Stegostoma tigrinum: one gene and its partner. The protein of the gene in region 2 interacts with the protein of the main gene of each other region in a pairwise test. Links are inferred from orthologs where the notes say so. Each region holds a gene or a part of one and is shown on either strand. Other genes may lie near its edges.

Region 1 (7,184 bases), on a different chromosome or scaffold from region 2:
TAGGCTAACATGTAGCAAGTAATGTTCATGCCATGCAAGTATCAGACAATGACCAAAATAACCAAAAGACAATCTAACCATCTCACATTGAATGTTGTTATTAACATCTTGAGGGTTCTCATCAACCTGAAAATGAACTGGATCGGCTTTATAAATGCTACGGTTACAAGAGCATGTCAGAAGCTAGGAATTTTGTAGGAAGTAACTCATCTCTAAAGCCAAAGATTCGAAAACCTGTTTACCATCTATAAGCCAGGAGTGCAATGGAATACTTTCCATTTGCCTGATTTATTGCAGCCCCAATAACACTCATGAAGCTCCACATTATCCCAAAGAAAACAGCCAGTTAAATTTGGATTGCATCTACAACCTTAAGCATTCATTCCTCTCTATTAAAGCTCAGTGAGAGGAGTGTATACCATCTACCTGAAACACTGTAGCAACTCACCAAGCTTCCTCCATCTTCCAAATACACGACTATTACCACCTAAAAGCATAAGGGTAGCAGAAGCTTGGAAACAACATCATCTATAAGTCCTCCTCCAGGCATTGAACCAACCTATGTAGAATAAGAAATGGTGGCTAATGATCCTCTGGATGTGGATGCAGGTGGGATGTAGATGAGGACAAGAGGGAGTCTATCACTGTTGTGGAGGGAAGGGTGGGGGTGACGACAAAATTGTAGGAGATGGGTCAGACTCGATTGAGGTCAACAGTGGTGTTTGGAAATCCTTGGCTGGGGAAGAAGGTGGGCATTTTAAATGCTCGCCTTTTCAAAGTTGGCATCATCAGAACAGATGCGATGGAGACGGAGGCACTGGGAGAATAAAATAGAGTCTTTACGGGAAACAGGGCGTGAGGATGTATAGTCAAGGTATCTATGGGAGTCAGTGGGTTTGTAGTGGTATTGGTGGCCAGTCTGTCCCTGTAACTAGAAACAGATGTTGAGGAAGGGAAGGGAGTAGTGGATGTATAAAGGGACTGCATGTCCATGGTAAAGAGGAGCCAGCTGGAGCTCACAAACTGGAAATTCTGAGACTGACGTGGAGCATTAGAGGAATCCCAGATGTAAGTGGAAAGAGGATGGGCAAGGGGAAGAAAACATTGAGTTGAGGTAGGTAGAGATGGAAACAGTGGGGCAGGAGCAGGCAGAAACAATGCGTCTGCCCTACAGTCCTGTTTGTGGAATGTGGGAAAGAGGTGGAAGGAAGATGTGTGAGGTTGGAGGACTAGAAGCTATGAGGCAGTGGAAAGGAGATCTCCAGATGAAATGAATTTAGTGACCAATTAAACAAGGTCACCTGAGGTTCCATGGTGGGATCATGGTCCAGGAGTGAAAGGAGGAGGTATTTGAGAGCTGGTGCTCAGCCTTTGCGAAGTACTGGTCAGTCTACTAAATAACAACAGTGCCACCCCTTGTTGGCGGACTTAATTACAAAATCAGGGTTAGATCTGAAACTACAGAGTGGAGTCATTTCCTGAGAGGATAGGTTGGAATGTGTGAGGGAGGTGAGGGCAGAGAAATTGAGGTTACCAATGTCATGTTGACAGTTCTTAATGAACAGGTCAAGTGCATTAAATGGCCTGAGGTAGGGGTTCAGGGGAGGGAGAGTATTGGAGGTAGGCAAAAAAGCCTGTGGGATGGGGAGAGGACTCTTATCAAAAGAAGTAGGCATGGTATCACAATTGACAGGGCCCTCAGCTGGGTCCGACCTCTCACCCGCAGTTCCTTCAGTAAACTCCCAAGATATCACTCTCAACAGACTCCGCGTTTGATGATGTGGAAATGATTCGGATGGAAACTTAAGGAAAATAAACACTTTCCAGGAGGGGTAAAATTTTATTATAATTGGCGGTCAGTGCAACTAATCTTTTATGAATTACTTCATGACAATAAACTGGTTGAGCAACAGGGATATACTATTAAATTTTTCGTTGTAGCTTTCAGTCTCATGCCCAATTATAGAGTTGTAGAGTTATACAGCATGTAAACAGTCCCTTCAGTCCAACTCATCCACACCAACCAAATATCCTAAACTGATCCAGTCCCATTTGCCAGCTTTTGGCCCATATCCTTCCAAACCCTTCATAATCATATTGCCATCCAGATACTTTTTAAATGTTGTAATTGTACCAGCCTCTACCACTTCCTCTAGCAGCTCATTCGACATACTGCTTGAAAAATTTGTTCCTGTTGTCCCTTTTAGATCTTTCTCCCCTCACCTTAAACCTATGCTCTCTAGTTTTGGATTCCCCCACCCTATGAAAAAGACTTTGGGGTATTCACCCTATTCATGTCCCTCAAGATTTTATAACCTTCTATAAAGTTACACCTCAGCCTCCAACACTCCAAGCAAAATAACCCCAGCCTATTGAGCTTCTCCCTATAGCTCAAATCCACCATCCCTGGCAAAATTCCTTCAAGTTCTTCAAGTTTCATAACATTTTTTCAATGGCAGGGAGAACAGAACTGCACACAGAATTCTAATAGTGGACTCACCAATGTCCTGTACGGCCGTAACATGACCTCCCAACTCCTATACTCAATGCACTGACCAATAAAGGCAAGCATACCAAACACCCTCTTCAAATTCTCCCATTTTTGTCCATTTTAAATCTGGATTGCAATTAATTAACTGAATTTGTTGCTGTTATCCTGTTTCCCATATTTCTTCAACATGAAGAATGTACCAGAAAATCCAATTATTTTATGGCAGCAATAACTTAAATACTGATTCCATGCAATTCCTGAAGAAAGATATCTTACTCATCATCCAGTATTGCCATTTGCTAAAAAAAAACACAATTTAAAGGAACTTTCCATGATCCACTCTGGAACTGAAAAGCAAACATTACTTGAAATTATCACATTGTACCACAGTAATTTCTAACTCACAGTGGTTTTTCTTCATGCTGTCAAAGGTCATTTTTTAAAGACGTTCTTCTCTTTCGATATGAATTAATATTGCATTACGCACTTTTTCCTATGGGAAGTGCACAGCTCGTTTCTTAATGGACGAATGTGCTTTATCGCACTTCTGTCCCTAGTAAATACCAACATTTTATGGTCCTTGCCAATAGATTTGTCAGGGATACGAAGCAAGAGTTATCAGATTTCTTCCAGCTATTGGTGGAAAGTGTCTACTTTCAGCCTTTCACATCCTCTGTGCTCTCAGGCTATAGGTAGACAGCAGCTGCTGATCTGAGAGGAGTAGTGTATGGTCATTCGACTGAGCTCCATGTGACTAATGGCACCAAGGATATACAACATGTACATGATGTGCATAGGCAAAACTCTAATCAGCTGCCAAAAAAAAGTTTTACGTTTGCTACTGTGTGCACAGCTAAAAATATTGTCCATTATATTTTACATGTTCCCAAATGATCTGGTGAATCACCTGGAAACATTTGAAGCCATTAATAAATGGATGGCTAACCTGTGAAAATCAATTGGCTTTGGACAACCTGACTTGGCCAGAATTACAGCCTCATTTTCAGGAATTCAAATGCACGTTGATTTGTTTTTCCTGATGAGCAGATTGTTTTGTTTATATTGCCTCTGTCTGAGAATTATCTAAGGGGCAAAAGAGCCATTTCTTTGAGAGGCATCTCTTGTCTCGAGGATCCACCCACAATGATCTGCAGCAACCTTGGACAAATCATTGATAAAGATGTTACGATAATCTCCAGGTGAACAAATGTAAACATGGAAGACGATCTTGTTGCGGTCAGATTAGCTGGACGTTGAGGGAGTATGTGTTGATCAGTTGCACCAAGCAACCACAGGGTGCCTGGATGGAGGAAAAGCTGATGATGTTGGCAAACTCAATGCACTCTGTGCCTGTGAGGCTTCATTTATCATGAACTGAACATAATGTTTAGATTTATCAGCTAGGGTATCAGTGACCTGTGAGATGTATTAGTGGGCAGGTTGATCTTAAAAGTAACTAGAGGTAAAGAAGTAGAAGGCTATGATGAATTTGACTGCAAAGTAGGTCATGGTGGTCAATGTGAGGTCCTCTATAATGAAGACATGGGTGTCTATGATCGTTTGCCTACAGAGTCCCAGTCTCATGCTGCACTAGTTGTTGGTCATGTTGAGGTAGCTCCATCTTTGAAGGTTGACCCAATATTGAGAACAGGATCATCTGTGACCTTCTTGCTCATCTCTGCTCTGTTAGGTTAATCACCGGGGTTCTGGTGTTCCTGTGGAGAATTAATCTTCTCAGTGTCATTGTGTCTAAAATCTGAGAGATGACCTCATTTCTAAATGCTACTTTCCTGGTATCCAGGTAGTCCCACAATTTTCCTCAGCAGCCTTGCCTCCAGCTCATGCGGTCTGCAATTGGAGGTGGGTAATAACTTTTTATACATTGTACTTACTCCCCACTCTGCCCGTTACCTGCACTGCACCACAGGCTCATGTTACCCTATTTCTTCAGTTTTCTCGATAGCATTCACTCTCATGATCCAGAGATAATTTCTTCCAGAGTCCATGGCTGAATATCCATGGTATATCTATCTCCCCTCATCTGGTCATCCCTAACAGTGTGTATAGACTGTGTGTCCTGTAAAGGTCTGAAATTATCTAATTGTTAATGAATGAGCTGTACAATGACCTATGGCCATAATCTCAGATTTGATGAGATTTATCTAAGATTTAGCATCCCATTCTTTCACCCTGCCCCACACCAACTTTGTAAATATGTTGGCATTGGTTAGCCATTGTTAGCACATGTACATTCAGAACTTATTTTGATATCATAGAATCCCTACAGTGTGGAAACAGGCTCTTCGGCCCAACAAGTCCACACCGACTCTCAGAGCACTCACCCAAATCCATCCCCCTATAACCCACCTAATCTACACATCCCTGAACACTAGAGGAAATTTAGCATGGCCAATTTACCCTAACCTGCACATCTTTGGACTGTGGGAGGAAACTGGAGCACACAGTGGAAACCCACGTAGACAATCACCTGAGGATGGGATTGAATCTGTGTCCCTAGCGCTGTGAGACAGCAGTGCTAACCAACATGCCGCCCACACGATGTCCATCACCAGCACTAAGTAATTAAAAGATTAACTGCCACTACTTTTATTTTTATTCTTCTTTTGTATCCAAGATTTGAACCTAGGTGCTCCTACCTAAGAAGGTGACATTGAAGGCAGCCATTGTTAAAACTTTTTACTATACTCCTGTGCTTCTGTACTGAACTACGTATGATTTTCTTTTCTAAAGGATTTTAAAGTGCCTTAATTAAATGAGTGCCTAGTACCACCTTCTTTCTCTCTCAAAGAAGTTGCTCATTTCTGAGTGTGCACAATTTTGCTTCAACAATTAAGCAACTAAAGATTAGTTTTTTAAAAAGAAACCTTCCTGCTGAGATAAAAGAAGCAGGAGTGCCAACTCCTGTGCCCAGTGTCTGCTTACCTCTGTGCCACTGTTAGGGCATACTTTGCGGAAGTGTTATTGAATATATAGGCACATGCAAAATAGTGTACTGGAAGAAACGGGAGGGTCCTTCTATATTAATACAATGTGGACATGTTTATATTGTGTGTGTCCAATAGATTACTGCATAACCAGAGAATAAGTAGCTGAAATGATATTATCACAGATTGACTGATGTCAAAAATCACTCAACACCAGGTTATCATCCAATAAGTTTACATGAAAACACTAGATTTTGGAGCATTGGTCCTTCCTCAGGTGTACTGAGAGAGGAAGTATCAAGACACAAAGATATGAACTTCTGTTCTGGTGCTAGACTGAAAATAACCCAATGCTTAACCATAAGATCCTCTGTCTGAATGAGTTTGATGGAGGTTATTTGACAGCTCTGTTTAAAAAAGTTGACACAACATTGACAACATTACAGACATGAAAAAGGCACTCTTGTGGTGCAGTTCTAAGTTCCTTAACTCTGAGCTAGAAGCCCAAGTTCAAATCCCACCTGTTCCGGAGGTGTAACATGTCTGAATAGATTGATTGAAAAAAGGTCTGCAAGCATGCAGGGGCCAGAAAAATCCTAACATTGGGAAATAAATTGTCCTTTGCTTCCTGCAAAAAACTTATCTGAATGTCTGTTACTACCACTGAACATTTTTAATCCTTTGTATATAGAACATAGAACAGTAAAGCAAAAGAACAGCCCCTTCAGCCCATTGATCAGTAAAGCCAAGGAACAGGCCATTCAGACCACTTTGTGCCAACCACAATGCCATTCCAAACCAATTCTATCTGCCTGCACACAGTCTGAATCTCTCTTATACCCTACCTGCTCATGTTTCTGTCTAAACGCCTCTTACACTTTGCTAGCAGCCTAATAGAGCTTTAGGGCATAGTCAATAAATGATATTTATTTAATTTGATATCTTTTGATGACTTCAAATGAAAATACATTTCTATGTGCACATTCAGCTTAATACCTTCCCTCTGAATTAAAAGGCTGCATTCAAGTCTCAGTCCAGGATTTAAGTACATTATCTAGGGTGACAAATCATATTTTGTAGAAGCTGTGCTGACTTATACACTGAAGAAATATTAGCCCAAATCACCTTCAATGGTTTCCTTTTCGTATGTTCACGTGACTATCTGTGGTGTATCACTGGGTTTCATCCTGACGTCCCTATCCTTTACCTTTATTGCTTATTCCATTTTGTCAAATTCAACCTCCACATAAATAAAGTGAACGCCAAGCTCTCTGTTTTTGGCTCCTCCATTAGCCCAATGGAAGGTCAGGCTGTTGGGATGCATGTTTCATTTCCATCACTGGGAAAAGAGGAAGGCAGTTGGCCCATCCCACTATACATTTTATCTGCCTTCCTACTTTCTTTATATTGAGCAACATTGGAAAACAGATCTTTATGTTTTGACTTCATTAAGGATTTTGTAGAATGTCCCCATTCATTTGGTAATTGTAGCAAAAGTGTAATAAGATGGAATGTTTTTATTATTAGTAATAGTCATTTTTTTAGGCTAAACTGGCTAACTGAGTCCAGCAAAATTGAGGCACAAATGTAGTTTTCATAGTTTTTTTGGCAGTGGAAGAAAAAATGTGGGACCACTACATTTACATAGCAGCTTTTCACAACCGCAGGATGTCCCAAAGTGCTTTATGGTTTATGGAAACATTTTGGAACAGTCGCATTGCGATGTAGAAAATGGCACAGCCATTTTG
Region 2 (7,302 bases):
AATGGAAAATGAATTTTTTATGCCTTTTCTCTGTTTCGTGTTGATTAGTCAATCTGCTGTGCAAGCCAATATGTTACCCTCTGCAGCATTAACTTTTTTTTTGCAATTATTGATGTGCCACCTTATCAATAACCTTCTCGAAATCTATGTTCAATACTGGTACCGCTTTAGTCACAGCTCAAAGAATTCCAATGAACTGGTTAAATATGATTTCCTTTCTCATAATGCAGACTGAGTATAACTAGTTTGCACATATATTAATAGAGAACAATTCTATCATCCTCATTTGAGGCAATTGAGGTTATTTTTTTCATAACATTTTGCAGATACTCTAAAAAATTCTCTCTCTGCATAAGTATATAATTTATATCATAAAGGGTTGAAATTCATGTTTAATTTTATTGTTCACCGTTCAATATGACAGTTAACTATTTGATTTAAGTTTCTACAAGTAACACAGAAAATGGATTTTTGCAACCTTTGAAAACAGTTCCTGATATAAAAAATAAGATTTCAAATCGTCTTATATAGCATTATACTTACTTTGTGTTTTATAATCACTAGGGCTTTATTATGAAAGTGCTATTAGAAAGAAACATCTTTAAAAAGGTTGGTCTGTATTTTTTTAATATGTTTTCTGGTAGAGTGAGGAGAAGATACTTTAGCTGAGAAATTTCTACATAAATCACATATCTGGATTTCTTAAAACGGGACTTGCCTTTTGTACTTTAGTCTATTCCACGGAACATTAATTCACTACTTACAGTTCCCACTTCATAAAGGTTACAATGTTATTTTGTACGGCGAGTTCTGAGCTATCTCCCGAAACCGGTTCACCAGGGCGTGCGCCCTGACTAGAAGCGATCTCTGAGAGTAAAACGTTTTCTGTGTGACTCAGTAAGGACTTGCATCTTTGTTTACACCACGAAATGAACATAAATAATCGAAGGACTGAAATGGTGCTGGCAGCAGGTGTAAAAACAGTAATACGGAGTCTGGTTCTTTGCAGTTTAAACTTTCAGACTTTGTAGTGAAACTGAAAAGGACTTTTCTATTTCCTGCCTATGCTTTATTTTCGTAAGGTTTGGTGATGTATGTGTGAATCAGAGGAAATGCAGCCCATTAACCGACAAAAGATTTATTGTCGCAAAGTATATTTTAGCATAAATCTTCGGGGGAAGACGATGCTTTCGTCAAGTAGAAATGTCATACAGCGTTAGGTTCAATCTCTTTGAATTTAAAACGAAAATAATTTTTAAAAAGGGACTCTCCATTTTAGCTGCAGAATGTTTGAGCTTTCCACTAAACTATCGAAAGGCTTTTTAACATAGATCTTGACGTAAACTATTTATTGGCTTCAAGTCGGATGCAATGTATACAATGCGCTTTTGTCGAGGAATCGAGCCTCTACTGCAATGCAGTTCTGGTTTCTAACTTTTTTTGAATAGCACGAGACATATTCTATTACTTACACTTACCCATTGCTTGAACAATTTATTGTTTTAATTTCTTAGAGCAGCTAACGACAGCAAAGCCTACCAAATACACAATTTAAAGTCTGCGGGATGCAAAATGAGGGCAACGCGAGTCAGTAAACTCGATGTCGAGACACAAGAAGAGAGATGGAAAGGGGAAAATATTCCGAACTATATGGAAACTATAAAAATCAAAGCCGTTTAATCAGTGGAATGTGTTAGGAAAGAATTTCACAGAACTGTTTTGTTTTAGATGGAGACTATTGGAGAGAGATATGAATTTACAGGCGATCACGTATTCGGTGCTTCATTGTAATTGGATTTAAAAGATAAATATGTGAAATATGATTGCGTTCGATGTCGATGTTTTCTTGTCCAGCATTTATTCCATAATTTCAGACAGCGGCATTGCAATGGAACGCTGATGGCAATTCCTTACCATTTAAAGTACCCTTAATGATTTGCCATTCAGTATTGGCCCGTGACTGAATTTTGACGGCTCCCGGTTTCATATGGGATGTGACCAAGAATCGGGTTAAAACTCTGCCTTCTTTTAACAAAAGTGTTTGGAGGTTGCAAAACAAAAAAAAAGCAAGAGCAGCCCAGAACCAATCAGTTAAGGGCTATGGGGAAATATAGATGTCTGTTTTTGAAGGTGAGCGTTAACTGAACGAATGAATCAGACCAACGCCAGGTTTGTTACATCAGTTTACGCCAGTCAATTTGGAGTGATTTTGAACAATTTGAGTACAGCTTGAATCTGCACAAAGTTGATGCGCGAAATAGTTGGTTGCGTCCGCTGCTCAGAAACGACTGAAGCCGGGTCGCTTACCTGAGCCGTCACTTTTCCTTTTGGAATTCCTTTTCTCTGTCTCCACTGGAGTGACCGCCGGCCTCCCGTAATCCCCCGACACACAGGACAGCGGGTTATTGGGGTTCAAGCTGGGACTGCTGTCCGCCAGGCTGGAGCCCAGTTCCGGGCCCCCGGATTCCGACTGGAGACAGAGTGTGTTCCGCGCCAGGGGAGGGGGTGAGGAGATCTGAGGGATGTGCCATGTTGCCTGGCCAGCGCCCGGTGCCTGGGGTTGCTGCTGGGGATGACCTCGGTGGTGATGATGTAGGTGATGATGATGACGCTGAGCTGTAAACATGCTTTCTTCATTAGGAAATCCCGTTATGATACAAGAAGAAGAAGACAGGTCTGGAAAAGCCACATGGTCTGATCTTCCATGGAGAGCTAGTGGAGACTGAGAGAAGTGGTGCAGGCTCTGCGCTGGAGCATGTGAGCCGCGCAGGCAGCTAAATATTGTATGATCCATGGGAGCGGGGTTTCAGATTCCAAGCGGCTGGAATTATATCCAAAGCACCTTCGATTTCAAAGTAAACAGCTTCCAGGAAAGCAGGGTTCTTTAAAAGAGATCTGGATCAATCGCTGTTTAACAGCCGGGAGCCCTTTGAATAAACAGGCACACACACAAACACACACACACACACACACACTGACACACACAAGCAGAGCTAATTTTCGGGTGACAAGTGGAGCCAATCGCACGTTGTCCCAGGGAGCTGCTTTCAGGGGGAAATCGTGGAAGATATATAAATAGTTTGTAATGTGAGAGGGGGGCTGGATCTAAGGCAAGGTCCCAGCCACATGCGAAGCTACCTCCAAAAAAACATCAGCCCTATAAATCATGGCAATTAATGACCGGAAATTCGCAGGCGCAGAGAAAGAGAAACAAGGTTTTGTACCAGTTTAAGGGCAGGCTTTATTCCTTATTGCGTATAGCTGTGACCTGCTATTGTCGATGTGAGAATTGTGTGTTTGCAGATGACGGGTGATGCTGAAGAAATGGAAGTGGGTAGGTGTGTTTGGGGGGGGGGGGGGTGAGGTGGATGTGGGAGCAAACTATTCCTCCCACCCCCCCACAAAAAAAACCTCTAGGAGCTCTGGGGTGTCAGATGTCTCTAACGTGCCGCAACTTAGGGGGTAGTGAACCTGTGTCTGTCAGTCAGTGCCACTAGAGCCGTCTGTACAACTCAGCCCAAAAGCAAGGCGTCCCGCAAAGCAGCGAACAATGAGAGCGAAAGGGAACGATTGATCCTCTCATCAGAGTCCTCAAAGCAAACACAACCGCACATCTTCAGATGACAGAATAAATTCCTAACCGATGAAGTCACGTTTAGGTGTTTGGGTTAGGGTTAAAAAGAAACTTGTGAAACAAAATACGCCGGACACTTCCCTTCCCCAATCGATCTTCCTGTCTATCAGTTACTCCGTCCTCATGATGGACGTTTTGATTTGCAAGTGAATGTTTTCATTTGTTAATAGAAAAAAAATCCTGTTCAATAATCGCATTTAATTCCCGGGATTAGCTGCCCTTTCCCGTGCTCCTTTTCTGTTAAATCTGAAACAGAGTCAAAACGGAGAGAAATCCTTTAAAAAACAGATCATCTAAGAAATAGACAAAATGGATTTAAACAGAGTAAAATTCTTTTGAAACCTAATGTGAAATCTAATTAGTCATGCAAATCCCCACCACCTCCCAACCAGAAAAAAGGTCCCTCAAAATAATTCTTCGAAAATTCGTCGCCAGAATTAATATTAAGGAGTTTGTCAGCGTCCGTAGTCAATTCAAATGTTTAAACCAGAAGGGGAAGGGGGATGGCCGGGAATTATATAACAGAAGGCTCCCAGTGGATGAAAACGCGTGAAAAATCGCTTCTGCCTTGATATTCCCATCGAAGGACAGAATTAAGTTGGAGCTGTGTTTTCCTGGAATCACATCGCTTGTCCGAGTGTTACCAATCCTGTGGTTAAAAGTTGTCGATGTGAAACGATGTTTTCCTTCATTGACAAACCATTGGGCGAAAATAAAGATATTTGTTATTGGTAAAATTGCAAAACAAATCTGAATGCTAGCAACTAATCATTTCTGTAAACAATTTGATTTTCCCGAAACAAAAGCAGAAATTGAAAAGAAACTCGTTTGAGACGAATGTCAGAAAGTTTATTGTTGGCACGAATGTAACGTGATTTGTGCTATCGCTCGTTTCTTAGAAAGGAAGCCCTGTGTTGCTTTTCGCAGACATCGATTTGTACACATTTTCTTAGAGACTCCGAACATCTTCAACGACTGGAGCTGATTAGGTGGTAGTTGAGCTTCCTGCCGGAGCGGTTCAGGTTGTACGGCGAGGCACCAGCGAAGTTTCGGCGGATTTCTGTCTCCGTTCCACAGATGTGACCAGGAATTGTCACCCAGGCATCTCATTGCGCAATGTTTCACGCAAATCAGTCGGGGCTCAATTAATTTCGGAAACTCGGGACAGCAAAATAGTGTATTCCAGAGAAGTGCCTCCCCTCTGAGAGTGTGTCCATCGACAATGAAAACGGCACCTCTATACAATAGTGAAAAAGACTGGGATCAATATCATCTTCAACACAACCAACTTTTAAACAGTCTCCATCTCCTTACAGGTAATTGCGGCACTATTTCAGAACAATCTCACACAGTGGAAGGGCCGAACAGCCTCTTTTCCGCAGTTAGGAATCAATAAGTAACGAGATCGCTGGCAAATTCTAAACTGTTCCTGAACCCCGTTTGGCGCTACTGGTAATTTGAGAATTTTATTGAAAAATAAATGAAATCAAGTTTCTTCAAATCCCTCCAGCTGAAAGGCTCCCTCAGTGTTCGAGAGCTGTTCTTTGTTGAGACAAGTACATGTCATAGTGTTTTGAGTGAAATAACATCAAACGTGCTGAATCAGGGACTCTGTTCCTCACATGTTCCCATCCGGAGCAAGATCCTCACCGCAAGAGCTGAACTCAGCTGAATGTCACTTTGGTGATAGCTTCATAAAAACTTTTATTTTAATAAGGGGGTTACTGATTTCTGCGATAATGTTGATGTGCAGTGGATTTTGGAGTCATTCACTGTCTAGGAGCGAATTTTTCCGTCCTGAATGTTGTGATACTGCGCTTTTCAGGTAAAATCAGAGTTTTTTTAACCTCGGACGAGGGATTGTGGAACGAGTCAAAAGCTGCTGTACAGTGCCAAATTTGCCCTTCAGTATGAGTTTGCTGTGATAGATGTTACCCTGGTCGTATAACACGCTGGAGTGGTTGGCCCGCATTTAACAAAATGTAAAACACGACAACAGAAATGAAAAACCGCCGAAGTTGAAAGTATGAAAGAAAACAAAATAAATGGTGAAAATACTCAGTCTAGAAGCATGGTGAAGAGATTTTTTTTATCAACTGGGCAGAAGTGAGCTGAAACGTGAACTCTACCCGAATAACGTACTCATTGGGTCCTCTCTTAATGACATGCTCACTGTGTATTTTAAAAGGGACCGAAACAGAAATTGCTGGAAAAGCTCAGCAGGTCTGGCAGCATCTGTGAGGAGAAATCAGAGTTAACGTTTCGGGTCCGGTGACCTTTCCTCCCCTAGACCTGTTTCTGATTCACAGCACCTGCGGATCGTTCTGTTTGTTTTTGTTTTGAAAGCGAATCAACTTGTCTAAAATGGACTTTGTCCCTGCCTCTCCATTTGGGAAATAAAGTGATAGCGGCTACATTTTGCAAAACTCGCTTTAATTTCTGGCACAGCGTGCGACCTGCAAACATTTTCCCCCCCGAACTCCAAACATGGAATTCTTTCCCTTCAGTTCATGATCGAGATACTTGGCACCATGCTTTTGAGAATGCAAACAAAAATAAAACTTGAAATAATTCGAGGCAAAATTCTTGACAGCTACTTATTTATCTAAGATATAAAAATGTGGGGTGGGAAGGCGAAAGCCAAATAATTGGTACAGTTACAAAAGCACAGCATTGTTGATGCTGGAGATCCGACATGCAAATAGCAAATGCCAGACAAACTCAGCGGATCTGGCGATACCTGGGCAAAGAGAAACAAATATTAACATCTGGAGTCCAATCTGACTCTTCATCGGAACAAGAGGCTGAAGGGATTTGTATATTCAGTTTGCTGGCACCCGGTTTCAGGATCGGGGATCTGACAGAAAACACTGCGCGTTCAACACAACGATTCAGATTTCAGAAGATGGCACAACTCAAGTAACGGGAACCAGATGCCGCTAGACTGATGTCCTTACAATCTCCTCACCAAGCTTTCAAGAGATTTCACTTAATCTTCATCGGTCTGATACTTAGAAAAATGCCGGGCCCCGGGTGTTCCGAAAGGCCCTTTAACTTAGAACTCCTGACGGGGAAACCGACCGGGCCCCAGTTACTGAGCCTCCAGATCTCCGCATTATTAGAGTTCAGATAGTTTCAGGGGATTCGGCGACAGGAGGTCATTTGGAGGGGTGGATAAAGGATTGAAACTTCTCATTTTCAACAGATCACCGTAAACAGGAGGCGTAAATCTGAACGCGGACATCAGTGTAGACTTGGTTCAGATTAATTGAAGTTGCCTGTTGATTGCAACATTCTGCAGATCTGCAGCATCTGTAACTCCAGGAGTTACACTGCGTTTTGATGAAGGGCGTACACCCGAAACACTAACACATCTGTTTTATTTTTGTTTTATTTTACAATAACAAACATATTCTCTTCAAAATGCCAACCACCTATTCAGTGTGTCCAACATTTTCTCTGTGAAATACGTGTTGTTATGATTGCTAAAACAAAAAGTTGTGACATGTTCCAGGCCTTCCTTTCCTACACAATACTTCAGACTGATTTTATCGCATGCAGCGAGACGCTGAAATAATCTCACCGTTTAGAAATAACTTCTGAAGATTCACTGGACCCGAAACATTAACTCCGATTTCTCTCCACACATGCTGTCAGACCTGCTGAGT

The links. The genes of interacting proteins can lie anywhere in the genome.
Region 1: the proteins of meox2a (region 2) and immunoglobulin-like and fibronectin type III domain-containing protein 1 interact in binary tests that used the Homo sapiens proteins (3 or more experiments, as listed by UniProt). The two-hybrid records come from large-scale screens. The link is inferred for Stegostoma tigrinum from reciprocal best matches to the Homo sapiens genes MEOX2 and IGFN1.

The regions. Positions count from the first base shown.
Region 1 is NC_081374.1:31,691,414-31,698,597, reverse strand, and holds the start of immunoglobulin-like and fibronectin type III domain-containing protein 1, read right to left. Parts: upstream 3,010-7,184; 5' UTR 2,897-3,009; intron 1-2,896.
Region 2 is NC_081355.1:69,823,554-69,830,855, forward strand, and holds the start of meox2a (homeobox protein MOX-2), read right to left. Parts: upstream 3,022-7,302; 5' UTR 2,795-3,021; coding exon 2,308-2,794; intron 1-2,307. UniProt on the Homo sapiens protein: Mesodermal transcription factor that plays a key role in somitogenesis and somitogenesis and limb muscle differentiation. Required during limb development for normal appendicular muscle formation and for the normal regulation of myogenic genes.